Arabidopsis thaliana: one gene and its partner. The protein of the gene in region 1 interacts with the protein of each later gene in a pairwise test. Each region holds a gene or a part of one and is shown on either strand. Other genes may lie near its edges.

Region 1 (7,226 bases):
AAGTTTCCGGCGAGAAATGGGGTCTTAGAACTCGAAACGAGATTCGTAAAGTGGCTCAAGTTGCGATGTTTGATTACTTTTATCAAACGAGAGGTTTGCAGTTTCTGGTTGCTGAGAGTATGAGTAAGAATGCTCCTGTTTTTAATGATAATCTTTTGAAGAAGCTTAATGGTTGTGATGTTGATGTTGATGATGATGATGATATAGTTAAAGCTATTACTAGGTTTCTATGGTTTCATCCTGTTAATGAATTTGAGCCCTTTTTAGAGAGTTTAGGTTTGAAGCCGTCAGAGTTTAGTCATTTGATTCCTTGTGATAAGATGTTTTTGAATGAAGATGCTTTTTTGCTGGAGAACTATCATGTCTTTTGGAACTATGGAATTGGAAGGGAGAAGATGGGGAAGATCTTTAAGGAAGCTAGGGAAGTTTTCGGGTATGAAACCGGGGTTTTAGCTTCCAAGATTAAGTCTTATGAGGATTTGGGGTTTAGCAAATTGTTTCTATCGAAACTTATAGTTTGTAGCCCAAGTATCTTGATTGGGGATATGAATGTTGGACTGGCTAAGGTCATGGAGATGCTGAAAGCTATTGGTTTTGGTGTTGATTGGGTAACAGAGAACTTGTCAGAGGAGGTGTCTTATGATTGGAGCTCTATGCATAGATGTCTAAGTTTTCTTAGAGATTTGTATGTTGATGAAAATGAGCTATGTGAGTTAATCAGAAAGATGCCAAGACTTATTTTCGAGGATTCAGGGGAATGGACATTGATTCTAGCTGGGTTTGAAGCAAAACTAGGGTCATCCAGAAGTGAACTCTCTTCGTTGTTTCAGAAATTCCCTCAGTGTCAGAGTTTAGGTAAATTTGTTTTGAATTTAAGGCATTGCTTCTTGTTTCTGAAAGATATTGAGATGGATGATGACGAGATCGGTAAGATTTTCCGTTTGCACTCTTTGTGGATTGGTGTATCTCGTTTGAAGCAAACCAGTACCTTACTTATCAATTTGAAGGGTGGGAAAGGGCGGCTATGTCAAGTCATTCAAGAAAATCCAGAAGAGATGAAAAAATGGATTATGGGGTTAAGAGTCCAGCCATTACCAGCTACTGGATACAAGGTAAACACAAAGTCGAAAACAATGAAGACTCAGTTCTTGTTAGACCTCGGATACAAAGAAAACTCTGAGGAAATGGAGAGAGCACTCAAGAATTTCCGTGGCAAAGGATCTGAACTCCGAGAGAGATTTAATGTCCTCGTGAGTTTCGGTCTTACTGAGAAAGATGTCAAAGATATGGTGAAAGCATGTCCTAGTATCCTCACCCAGGCATGTGATATCTTAGAATCAAAGGTGAACTACCTTGTAAAGGAATTAGGTTATCCGCTTTCGACATTGGTGACTTTCCCAACATGTCTTAAGTACACTCTTCAGCGGATGAAGCTTCGATTTTCAATGTTCTCTTGGCTTCAAGATCGAGGAAAAGCAGACCCAAAGCTTCAAGTTAGTACTATACTTGTGTGCTCGGACAAGTTCTTTGCCACTAGATTTGTAAACCGTCACCCCGATGGGCCTAAGCATTTGGAAGACCTGAAGAAACTACTTGTGTGTTAGTAGAGATCAAGAATGCATCAGGATATATATAGTATTGACCACAACAATGCAAATGAGCCCCAAACACAAAGGAAAGATTCGATTTTGTATCTGATGAAGACATTTTTTTGAAGCAGTAGCTGCAGTTTTGTGTTATCTCCTGGAGCAGATTGCTATGTAAGTTTTACAAGTTCTATTTCAATTTTTTAAAAGTTGGAGAAAAAATAAACAAATTTGTTTAATCTCAACAAATTTCAATGAAAGGAACTCATAATATAACTGTGGCAGAATTCGAGAATGAACTTGAACAAAAACTAACTGAATAACGAAACTCATTGAGAAGATTAAGGTATATAAAAACACTATAAAGAGAGATTATAATGTTATTCAAACATTATCATATAATCAAGCCTCAAATAAAATCAAATAACGATGATCACAGTCTTTAAGAAAAAGAAAAGCCACGTGGCACGAAGGTTTGACTAGTTGACTCCAACGTCCTTAACTGTTTTTGCTGACGTGGAATATTCGCGCTTTGGCTTTTTTATTAAGTACCATCTCTCTAACTAAAGCTCCTTCTTTGATGTTCTCTCTTCCGAGTTTCCTCTCTGTTTGTTTTCCCGGAAAGCGAGAGAAAGTGCGAGAAAATTCCACCATTCTTTTCTTCTTTTCTCCTTTCGTTAGATGTCGGAGCTTAAACGTATCACTTTCTCTGCATAAAGCACCATTATTACTGAGAGTCGAGAGAGATTATAGTGATGAAAACCAAACAGCAATTGCGATTCCTCGCTACAATTCTGCTCACGACGATTCTATTTGTTCTGGCGAAGACTGATACTGATCCGCTTGAAGGTAAATTTCCAGATTCTCGTTTCATTTTTCTCAGTCTAGGAGTGAATCCTAGCTAAGATTCTTGTTCGTCGTTGTTCTCTGTTTCAATTTTACTTACTTAGGAACGAACTGTTACTTGATCATCACCAAAACACAGAAACCCTTTCTTGACTTGAAATTTCTATGGGTTTAGTCGCGAGTTTTAGATCTTTCGCTGTTACTTGATCATCACCAAATGACTGTTTAGTCTTCGGCTATATGTGATTGTTGTTTATTTGTGTTTCTCCGTTTAGTTTTGGCTCTTCAAGATCTCTACAAGTCTCTGAGAAATCCAGAACAGCTGAGAGGATGGAGATTAGAGGGTGGAGATCCATGCGGAGAAGCCTGGCTGGGAATTTCTTGTTCTGGTTCTTCTATAGTAGACCTGTAATCTCCTTGTTTAACCCTTTTCCTCAGTTTTTATTTTGTCCGGTTCGAGCAAAATCTGATTCATTCTATCGCAGACAACTGCGAGAGTTAAAGCTTTTGGGCAGCCTTGGAAACCAGCTTCAACATCTCCACAATTTGAAGATTCTGTAAGCAAACTTTTCTGGTTCTTGATTGTTAACTTCATTGCGAGACAGAGTCATTGTATTGTTGATATTTATTCAAAGCATTGGTCTTTACTTTGTTTAGGGATGTAAGCTTCAATAACCTTGAGGGTGAAATTCCGTTTGGCTTGCCTCCTAACGCTACTCATATGTAAGTGTTTAAGCAAGTGCATTCATCTTTTAAGCATACATTCCAGTGCAATTCACGAGTGTTTTCGTTGTTTGCCGATTACAGAAACATGGCTTACAACAATCTGACCCAAAGTATCCCTTTTTCCTTACCTCTTATGACATCTCTTCAGTCTTTGTAAGTGGCTTATTCCAAATGGATATCTTTGAAATATCTCATCACATTGCTTTCCTTTTATACTGATTTGTTAAATAATGGCTTCCTCTGTCTTCTAGAAATTTGAGCCATAATTCATTATCTGGACCTCTTGGAAATGTGTTTTCTGGGTTACAGATTAAAGAAATGTGAGTCTTCTGTTCAGTTCTGTTAGTCTTTCATCACCATATATAGGTGCAAGATACCCATTCATATTCAAATATTGACTTTGCTAGGGATCTGTCATTCAATAACCTGACGGGAGATCTACCGAGCTCTTTTGGGACTCTAATGAATCTGACTTCACTGTAAGTATCTGGTTTCTTATATCTGCTATCTGCTTTGTGCACGTTGGTATAACCTAATAACAGTTTTGATGCTGTGATAACAAAACTGCAGGTACCTCCAGAACAACAGATTAACAGGATCAGTCATATATCTCGCGGATCTTCCTTTAGCTGACCTGTAGTTTCACTCTCTTTGTGCTTTGATTTTCCATTTCATTGAACTTCCTTTATTTATGACCTAAACATATGTCTTCAGGAACATCGAAGATAACCAGTTCAGTGGTATTATCCCAAGTCATTTTCAGTCCATTCCTCATCTGTGGTGAGTTTATTATTCCCCCCTTCTCATAAATTGGCTCAGACACACCTATGACTCATGAAAATCATTGGTGTTTTCCTGAGCAGGATTTGGGGAAACAAGTTCCATGTAGAGCCCAACTATAAACCGTGGAAGTTCCCATTGGACGTCAGACCACTGATACAAAATGATACTGGCTATCCAACAACAGAGTCAAGTGCCATTATGAATTTTCCCAGACCTGAGACTCAGAAGGTCAAAAAGAAGAAGAAAGGCATAGGAGCAGGAAGTACCTTTTTACTGGTTGGTGGGTTAGCTTTGCTGGGAACTTTCTTTGCACTTTTCGCAGTTCGCATGAATCATCGACGTGCACAAAACCTTGCTGCTATTCACAGAAGCAACAATAGCATAGCATACTCTCTTCCAGTCAGTACAGGCCGAGGTGATATATGCTTGTCTCTCCCCTCATTTTTACAATGGCCATTCTGATTCCCTGGTGCTGACTTTTTACCTTCACATGTAACAGAATATCCTGTTGCAACTGAAGATAACCCACAGATTAAAAGGTTCCAGCCACCACCAGCTCCCCAACTCAGACATTTACCTTCTCCACCTGTCAGAATCGATAAATCTGCAAGAAGAAAGAGCTTCTCTGCAACATGTCAATATCCATCGTTCGCTAAGCTTTTCTCAGCTGCAGAGCTTCAACTGGCAACTAACTGTTTCAGTGAGGAAAATCTACTCGGAGAGGGTCCTCTTGGTTCTGTTTACAGAGCAAAGTTGCCTGATGGTCAGGTATATCTCTCTTCTCTCTCTTCAAACATTCAAAATTGGGAATTTTATTATTTGTGTCTCATCCATTGATGTTTTGTTAAAACAGTTTGCCGTCGTCAGAAACATCCCAATGTCTTCGCTATCTTTACATGAAGAGGAACAGTTTACTGAAGTGCTTCAGACAGCCTCCAAACTAAGACACCCAAACATTGTTACACTTCTCGGTTTCTGCATTGAGAATGGAGAGCATCTTCTTGTCTATGAGTATGTTGGCCATTTGTCGTTGTACAATGCTATGCATGATGAGGTATACAAGCCACTTTCTTGGGGCTTGCGTCTCCGCATTGCTATTGGAGTTGCCCGAGCTCTGGAGTAAGTATTCTATCTTCTCAAACTAGTGGTAGTAGCTATTCCCTACCCTTGCAGTTATTTATTTTGACTCTTCCCTATCTGGTGAATCAAAAACTTTCAGCTATTTGCACTCGTCGTTTTGCCCTCCTATAGCCCATAGCGATCTGAAAGCAACAAACATCTTACTAGACGAAGAACTTACACCTCGTATTGCTGACTGTGGGCTTGCTAGTTTAAGGCCACTTACAAGCAACAGTGTTAAACTTCGGGTAAGTAAGACAGCATCTGATGTGTCACCTAATTCTTTGACTCAGAGAGACCTAATGAGTTGTGATTTAGAGCAGGCTTCAGAAATAGCGATACAAAACACTGGCTACATAGCACCAGAACATGGACAACCAGGAAGCAGTGGCACAAAGAGTGACACTTATGCACTGGGAGTGCTACTCTTAGAACTGTTAACAGGAAGGAAAGCATTTGACAGGTACACAAGCGTTTCACATAATAATATAATCATTGATGCCTAAGCTAAGCTAATCATGACCCTTTTCTGATGGATGTTTTGCAGCTCACGACCCCGAGGAGAACAGCTACTGGTGAAATGGGCATCAACCAGACTTCATGACAGGCGAAGCTTAGAACAGATGATTGATGGAGGCATAGCCGGCACATTCTCCTCAAGAGTCGCCTCACAATACGCAGACATTATCTCCCTATGCACTCAGGTATTGTCATTAGAGTTTCTTCACTCAGGATCATTACATTAACTAACCATTCTTTCATAAGCAGGCAGAGAAGGAGTTCAGACCACCGGTTTCAGAAATAGTGGAAGCCCTCACTGCGCTGATACAGAAACAGAACAAGGAAGCAAGCAGTAGTGTAGCAGACAAGACCGACCCTTTTAGTAAATCTTTCTGCTCAACACGCACACGCTTCATCTCCTCACCTACCTTCAGCTACCTCTCCTCTTGAACATTTTCTGTATCTCTACTTCATGCACATATACTTTACTGTGAAAAGAATAGTTCTTAGCATATGATGATATACACGTATTAGTCTTGGTAAAAAGGAAGTTTCTTGGTATATAATAGAAATACAAAAGAGTTTGAAACAAGGCAAAATCCTAAAGCAAGAAACAGGGTCACTTGGTGTACTGAAACTAAGTTTTCTAGCAAATCCCAAAGATCAAACTAAGCAGAAACCCCAGCGTTCAACAATGTATTGATCTCTCCTCTTATATTCACAGGTCTTCCATCAAACATGGAAGAGAGACTTGTCTCACATAGCTCCTTGAGTTCTCTTGTTTTCGAAAGTGCAGCTTCCTGTATTCAATACCAAAATCAATAAACAGAATTTGTTAGATAATAGCCCCTTCCAATTCCAAATTTCTGATAATCCACAGTTTAGCCAAAACAAGCTTTTTAAGAACATGAGGTTACCTGTTTTGGCCATATAGCAGAAAGTGAATTCTGCAGCTCCATGCGTCTTCTACCCACATCTTTCAAGCTCTCTCTTAACTTCACTTCACGGTGCTTCTTCTCCTCCAGCTCTGAAACAAGCCTATCTAGGAATCTGTTCGACAAACAAATACATATATCAGAAGCTGTGGTACTCACTGTGATCCCCTGGCAGAGATTCTTTATCCTAACGCACCTTTTGGAGTTGAGGATCATGATCAGATCCCGAGATTTCTTGTTTGTTAGCAATGAAATGGCCATGGAGATGTCAACCACCATTGGCTCTATGGTTTCAGGAGAATACTGCTGAAGAACCATGGGGGAGACTGCTTGCACGTGGTGTTGCAAGGACAGCGTATCTTCATTTCTCAGTTCTATCAAACGCTGGTTCAAAAATGCCTTGACCTGACACAAGAGAAACGACATCAACTCAAGAAGCATATCCAGGATTAAACTGAGAATTAGATAGTTAGTGATAAGAGTACCTCATACAAATCATCAAGGATCTTATTCCTATATTCTGTCTCCAACAGCTGGCTCCTCTCTCCTCCACTCCCTAAGACTTGAGTTGTAGAATCTGTCAACTGTGTCTGGTTTGATTCTAGCAAAGCTGAATCACCTATTTCTTCTACCTGAGGTGTTTCAACACTTACATCCCAAGAAATCTCAGAAACATCAACCTCAAGGCCTTGGCTTTCTTCCACTTTAAATGGAGAATTCTCAGGAATAT
Region 2 (5,214 bases), on another chromosome or scaffold:
TCACTTTCAAGTTGTTAACTACTCAATTCAACAGTAACTCAGAATTCATTTCTAATCAGATTCCACTTTGTGTATAGTTTGATAAGTTTTCCATTGAGGCAAGGATGATAATAGCTCCTTGAGTAACTTACAGCTATACTCTTCCCAAGAGGTAACCGCGAGAGCTATACCCGTCAAGTCGAGTGAATCCTTTCGATCCTCACCAGAGCACGAATATCCAAAAGTTGTGGCTACGAGGTTCTCATCTAGCAGGAAAACTGATTTCAGGGCATTGATAGTTTCCAACTGAGAGTGGGACATAGCTTTCACCTCTTCTAATGTGTCATTTTCGACATTAGAAGTTACGAGTTCAGAAGCTTTCCAATGGTAGAACTGAACAACCTATTATCCAGCAAAAGAGAAGAAATAAGCATTTGATTATATATGATGAAAGGAAGCCCGTTTAACAAGACATTTACTATATCAACTAATCACTAACGACCTCGAAGAAACTCATGTGAATGTCAAAGAGAAAAGTACCTGAAGAGCATGAAGAATGTTGGCAAATTTTCGGGTGAGTAACTTTCCTCCTTTAGCTAATTGTAGTGGTCCCATAAGTTGTTCAGAGGCATCCGTAGAATGATCTTCGCCTTGTAAGCTATGTACATCAAAACCAAGAAGATGCAACCTCGCAACGCAAACATCAAAACCTATGTTTTGATTAGAACCATCTTGATGAGGACAGAACCAGTACATGTTAGTGGATGCAGGCAAAGGGAGGCACACTTCATGTGATGTACATTGTGAAAGACGAGAAAGAAGCTTGGAATCTTCGTCATGTGATGAGTCCCGGCTAAACCAGAGTGCAAGAGTCAATCTTTCTCCATCTGTTACCTCATCAACTGAGTGAATATTCCGGTCATCAGCTGTGTACATGATAACATCCTGCTCAAGAACACAAACTCATTATTCAATCTAAGTAACCACTAAGCCAACTGAAAAAGAACAATACTTACACCAGCCGATGGAGCAACGGTTACTGGTTCACCACTCTGAAAACGAAAAAGACCGCCTATGAAATCTTTCTCGTAACTATTCAAGTAACAAACTGCCTTCAAACCAACTAAAAACCAAAGTCATACACACATAAACCACAATATCAACAAGGACGTCTATAGATTACAAAAATGAGAGTGAATACGAACCGCAAAATCTCTTTGTTTTAGATATGATCTGTTATCATCACTATGCCAACCAATGCTAGCTCCTTTGCACCAACTGATTCAAAACAAAGAATCAATATTTACTCTTTTTTCCTGACTTGTTTTGTTAAAGAGACAGGGGAGAGAGACTAACCTAATCAAACCTGTGAATTCAATAAAAAGCTCATACTCACACCCAAATGTTTCCTCTATCTTCTCTTTCAACCTCTCTGTTAACTCAACACAACAAAGATCATCCCTTTGAATCTCACAAAAGTAAGATATAAAGACAAAAGCGAAATCTTTGAGTTTTAAAAGATTGACCTCTAATGGAGACAAAAGGGATGATGAGGTGAGGAGAATTAGTGGCAATGAGGTGAGAGAGAGTAGTGGAGAAGACATTTGGTCTGTACCCAATTGTACTGCTACTCTTGTGTATAAGCTCAAGTTCCTGTTTTTACCTCAAAATTAACCAAACCCACATGATTAGACACAAAATTAAGCAAAAAAGGGACAACCTTGCATTCTGCCGGCGACAGGAAATTGTGTAGAATTAGCCGAGGGTGCTCTTTCTCCGACATGTCTCTCCGGTTTGTGTAATGAATCCAATGAACCCAGATCGATTGTGGTTGTTTAGGGTTTCAGTTAATCCTGTTCTTACTTGTCTTGTCTATTTCGGTGTACCACCGCTTTTGGAATTAAACTGAAATTAGTTTGTTAATCTTTTTTTTCTTTTGTTCATTAGAATAATTAATTATATGATGTTAAAAAAAAATTATTATGTAAGAAATGTTAAGTCGGTAAGTTCCAATTAACTTAAACCGGAATTTTAGAAGACAAATGTTACAAAAACTTTTGAAAATAACTAATCAAAGTATCAAACTGAGGTAAAATGAGATTATACTAAGTGCTTACCACTACAATCGAATTTAAGTTCTTACTAAACTTCTAATGTTGTTCAACTTTTGCTATCATGAAATCCTCTACCAACCATCGATTTTTGTTCATTATTTACATATTTCTAGTTCAACATTATCACCACCACATTTGCTCTTAAACATAACCGAGAAGACAAGTGTTAAAAATCTCAATTTCCTAACCACCAGTCTAATTGTTGACTACTAAAACGTCTGTAATCCTCTAATCTCTAACTCTTAACACATATTGTTTAAAGAGCAAATTAAGAATTAAGACAATTATGAATCACCGATACACTTATTAAAGTACTTTCTCTTGTCTCTATTTTGACTTTTGAGTGGTACTGATAGGTACAAGAAACACAACAAACCCTAGATTTATCTTCATCTCTCTCAATTCTGTATCAAGCAAAGACGGATTCAACGATGTCTTCACCTGAATCACCTTCCGGTTCCGACTCATCCACACCACTTCTCCGTTCACGGCAATCATCACCACGTCGTCAACCTGTAATCGCGGTTCTATTAAATCGAGCTTCAGGACGACGAGGAGCTTCGATGGTGGTTAGAGAAACAGCTGCACAAGAGCTTGAAGAGCGACGAGCTGATTGGGGTTACTCGAAACCTGTTGTTGCTTTGGATATGCTTTGGAACACTGCTTTTGTTCTTGTTGCGATTGTTATGCTTTTGGTTTTTAAAGAAGAGAAGCCAAATGTTCCTATTAGGATTTGGATCTGTGGTTATGCGATTCAGTGTCTTGTTCATGTTGTCCTTGTTTGGCTTGAGTTTAGAAAGAGGAATGCTAGAAGCAGACCTGGAGATTTAGAAGCTGCTCAAGCTACGAATCAGGATAGTGAAGATGAAGACAACGATGAGAGGTTTCTGAGGTTAGCTCTCGATTCAATTATCTGTGCTGTTTTGTTCTTTAGCCAAATGATTTACTAATGATTTATGAGAATCAATTATTTTCAGCACTAAGACTTGTGAATCAATGAACACTATAATATCATTTGTCTGGTGGATTGTTGGATTCTACTGGCTTGTTTCTGGTGGTGATATCCTTCTGCAAAACGCGACGCATTTGTATTGGTATGTGTTGGTTTGCTCAATGTTTATTTCTTCTAGTTGAATGGTAATGACATCATTATGTTTATTAATGTTTGCAGGTTAACCTTTGTTTTCCTTGCATTTGATGTGTTCTTTGCCATCTTTTGCGTTGTGCTGGCATGTCTTATTGGAATCGCCCTCTGTTGTTGCCTACCTTGTATTATTGCTCTTCTTTACGCCGTCGCGGGGCAGGTATGGACTATAACAGTAACCCTTTTGGAAGAAATGAAAGCAATAAACTGCCTTTTGATATGTGTGTGTGTGTGTTTAGGAGGGTGCATCAGAAGCAGATCTCAGCATCCTTCCCAAGTACAGGTTTCACACGATGAACAATGATGAAAAGCAAAGTGACGGTGGTGGGAAAATGATACCTGTGGATGCAGCGAGTGAGAATTTAGGAAACGAGCGTGTGCTTCTTCCCGAGGATGCTGTAAGTTTTTGTTTTGAAAGTTATCTTGTGGATGTTTTATATGAAGCTTAGAGCTTTCTTTTGAATTGGGTTGGTATGTGTAGGACTGTTGTATATGTTTGAGTTCATATGAAGATGGAGCAGAGCTGGTCTCACTTCCTTGCAACCACCACTTTCATTCTACGTGCATTGTGAAATGGCTGAAAATGAATGCGACATGTCCACTATGCAAGTTCAATATCCTCAAAGGTAATGAACAAGAATGAAGTAATGTAGAGGAAACTTTTCTTCTTTTTATGTTGTGTTTCTTTTTGTTGTATATAGAGTAGAGAAAAAAGAAAATGATTGTGTTGTTTGTAAGTCATAAGACAGTTTGTTTCTTTGTTGAAATTTGTTGTCAATTCTCTTTTTTTTTTATCAAATAATAATAGATATATTCATCATGTAGCTAATCGCGTAAGACAAAAATAATCCTCATTTGTGACATTATGTTTGTTGTTCATGTAAACAAACATAAACCCCAAAGATATATCTAAAACAAATCAAGACCAACATAAACCCAAAAGATATATCTAAAACAAATCAAGACCAAGAGCTAAAGGTAATACAACAAGTTAATCTATAAAACTTCGGTCGCAAATGGCAGTGATATTCAAAAAACGAAACATTATATTGATTTACATTCAATTTAAATAGATTTTTTTTGTTTCTCATAACAATTTAAAAGGACTTTTATTAGTAGAGAATCAATCAAATTTGTTAAAAGAGAAAACATACATAATTGATTGTCCCTCAAAAAGAAAAACAAAGAGATCTCAACAGATTACAGTGATTAGATTAGTGTACACGTATTTAGTTAACAACAACAAAAAAAAAAAAAAAAAAAGACATATTACACGTTCCCTCCTCTCACGCGCAAAGCATCTCTTTGACTAATCACATCTTTTCTACGCTAATCACATCACTAACCAAAATAATTAACCATCCACCTAAATTATATACATACAATATTGCCATTTACTATATTATAATTACTAACCTCTATATTTCATACTTAAGTGCTTGATCAAGTGAACGTTGATTAATTAACAACCTAATCTAATCTTTGTTTTTTTTCCCTCTTCTTGTCTTGTCACACTTGCTATTAGAGAAGACGACTAGAGAAAGAAAGATAAACAACAACACTGTGACAGCATTTAAATCTCACTCTCTCTCTTGTTTCCATCACTACAAAAAAAAAAAAAAAAACGAACGATCTCTCTGAAACTATCTCTTTCTCTCTAGATATGTTGTTGAGACTCTGATTTGAAATCCCAGAGAAAAGCATTTGGATCCTCTCTAGAAATCTGCATTTTGAAGCTACTTTTTTGTTTGCATCTGAGTGTGTATAGATCCTGAGGAATTTTGATGTGTTGTTGAATCGGAAGGAATTTAGATCGGAGTAGTCGGAGATGTCTGACGTTTCGGCTGACGGTGGTTTTTTGTCGGCGGAGCAAGCTACAACGCCTGTTGCGATTCCGACGCCGTATCCGTCATTGACGGTGTCGGCGTCCTATAAGGAGAAAAGTTCTGGGAGGAGGAGACCGGTTAGGCCTAGTTT

The links.
Region 2: the proteins of SRF2 (region 1) and AT1G68070 interact in a protein complementation assay, tested with the Arabidopsis thaliana proteins (one large-scale study listed by BioGRID).

Annotation. Positions count from the first base shown.
Region 1 is NC_003076.8:2,110,653-2,117,878, forward strand, and holds SRF2 (STRUBBELIG-receptor family 2), read left to right. Parts: upstream 1-2,063; 5' UTR 2,064-2,341; coding exon 2,342-2,435; intron 2,436-2,707; coding exon 2,708-2,840; intron 2,841-2,917; coding exon 2,918-2,989; intron 2,990-3,089; coding exon 3,090-3,155; intron 3,156-3,239; coding exon 3,240-3,311; intron 3,312-3,409; coding exon 3,410-3,478; intron 3,479-3,565; coding exon 3,566-3,637; intron 3,638-3,728; coding exon 3,729-3,794; intron 3,795-3,872; coding exon 3,873-3,938; intron 3,939-4,021; coding exon 4,022-4,356; intron 4,357-4,440; coding exon 4,441-4,709; intron 4,710-4,794; coding exon 4,795-5,060; intron 5,061-5,160; coding exon 5,161-5,308; intron 5,309-5,383; coding exon 5,384-5,523; intron 5,524-5,607; coding exon 5,608-5,764; intron 5,765-5,828; coding exon 5,829-6,011; 3' UTR 6,012-6,102; downstream 6,103-7,226. Other genes in the region: AT5G06811 (transcription termination factor family protein), read left to right, coding at 1-1,604; AT5G06830 (uncharacterized protein), read right to left, coding at 6,230-6,361, 6,479-6,611, 6,693-6,901, 6,982-7,226.
Region 2 is NC_003070.9:25,514,078-25,519,291, reverse strand, and holds AT1G68070 (Zinc finger, C3HC4 type (RING finger) family protein), read left to right. Parts: upstream 1-2,230; 5' UTR 2,231-2,524; coding exon 2,525-2,985; intron 2,986-3,070; coding exon 3,071-3,187; intron 3,188-3,264; coding exon 3,265-3,397; intron 3,398-3,476; coding exon 3,477-3,635; intron 3,636-3,718; coding exon 3,719-3,880; 3' UTR 3,881-4,060; downstream 4,061-5,214. Other genes in the region: AT1G68080 (2-oxoglutarate (2OG) and Fe(II)-dependent oxygenase superfamily protein), read right to left, coding at 52-381, 520-924, 996-1,091, 1,185-1,257, 1,336-1,411, 1,506-1,632, 1,700-1,762; MAP70-1 (microtubule-associated proteins 70-1), read left to right, coding at 5,066-5,214.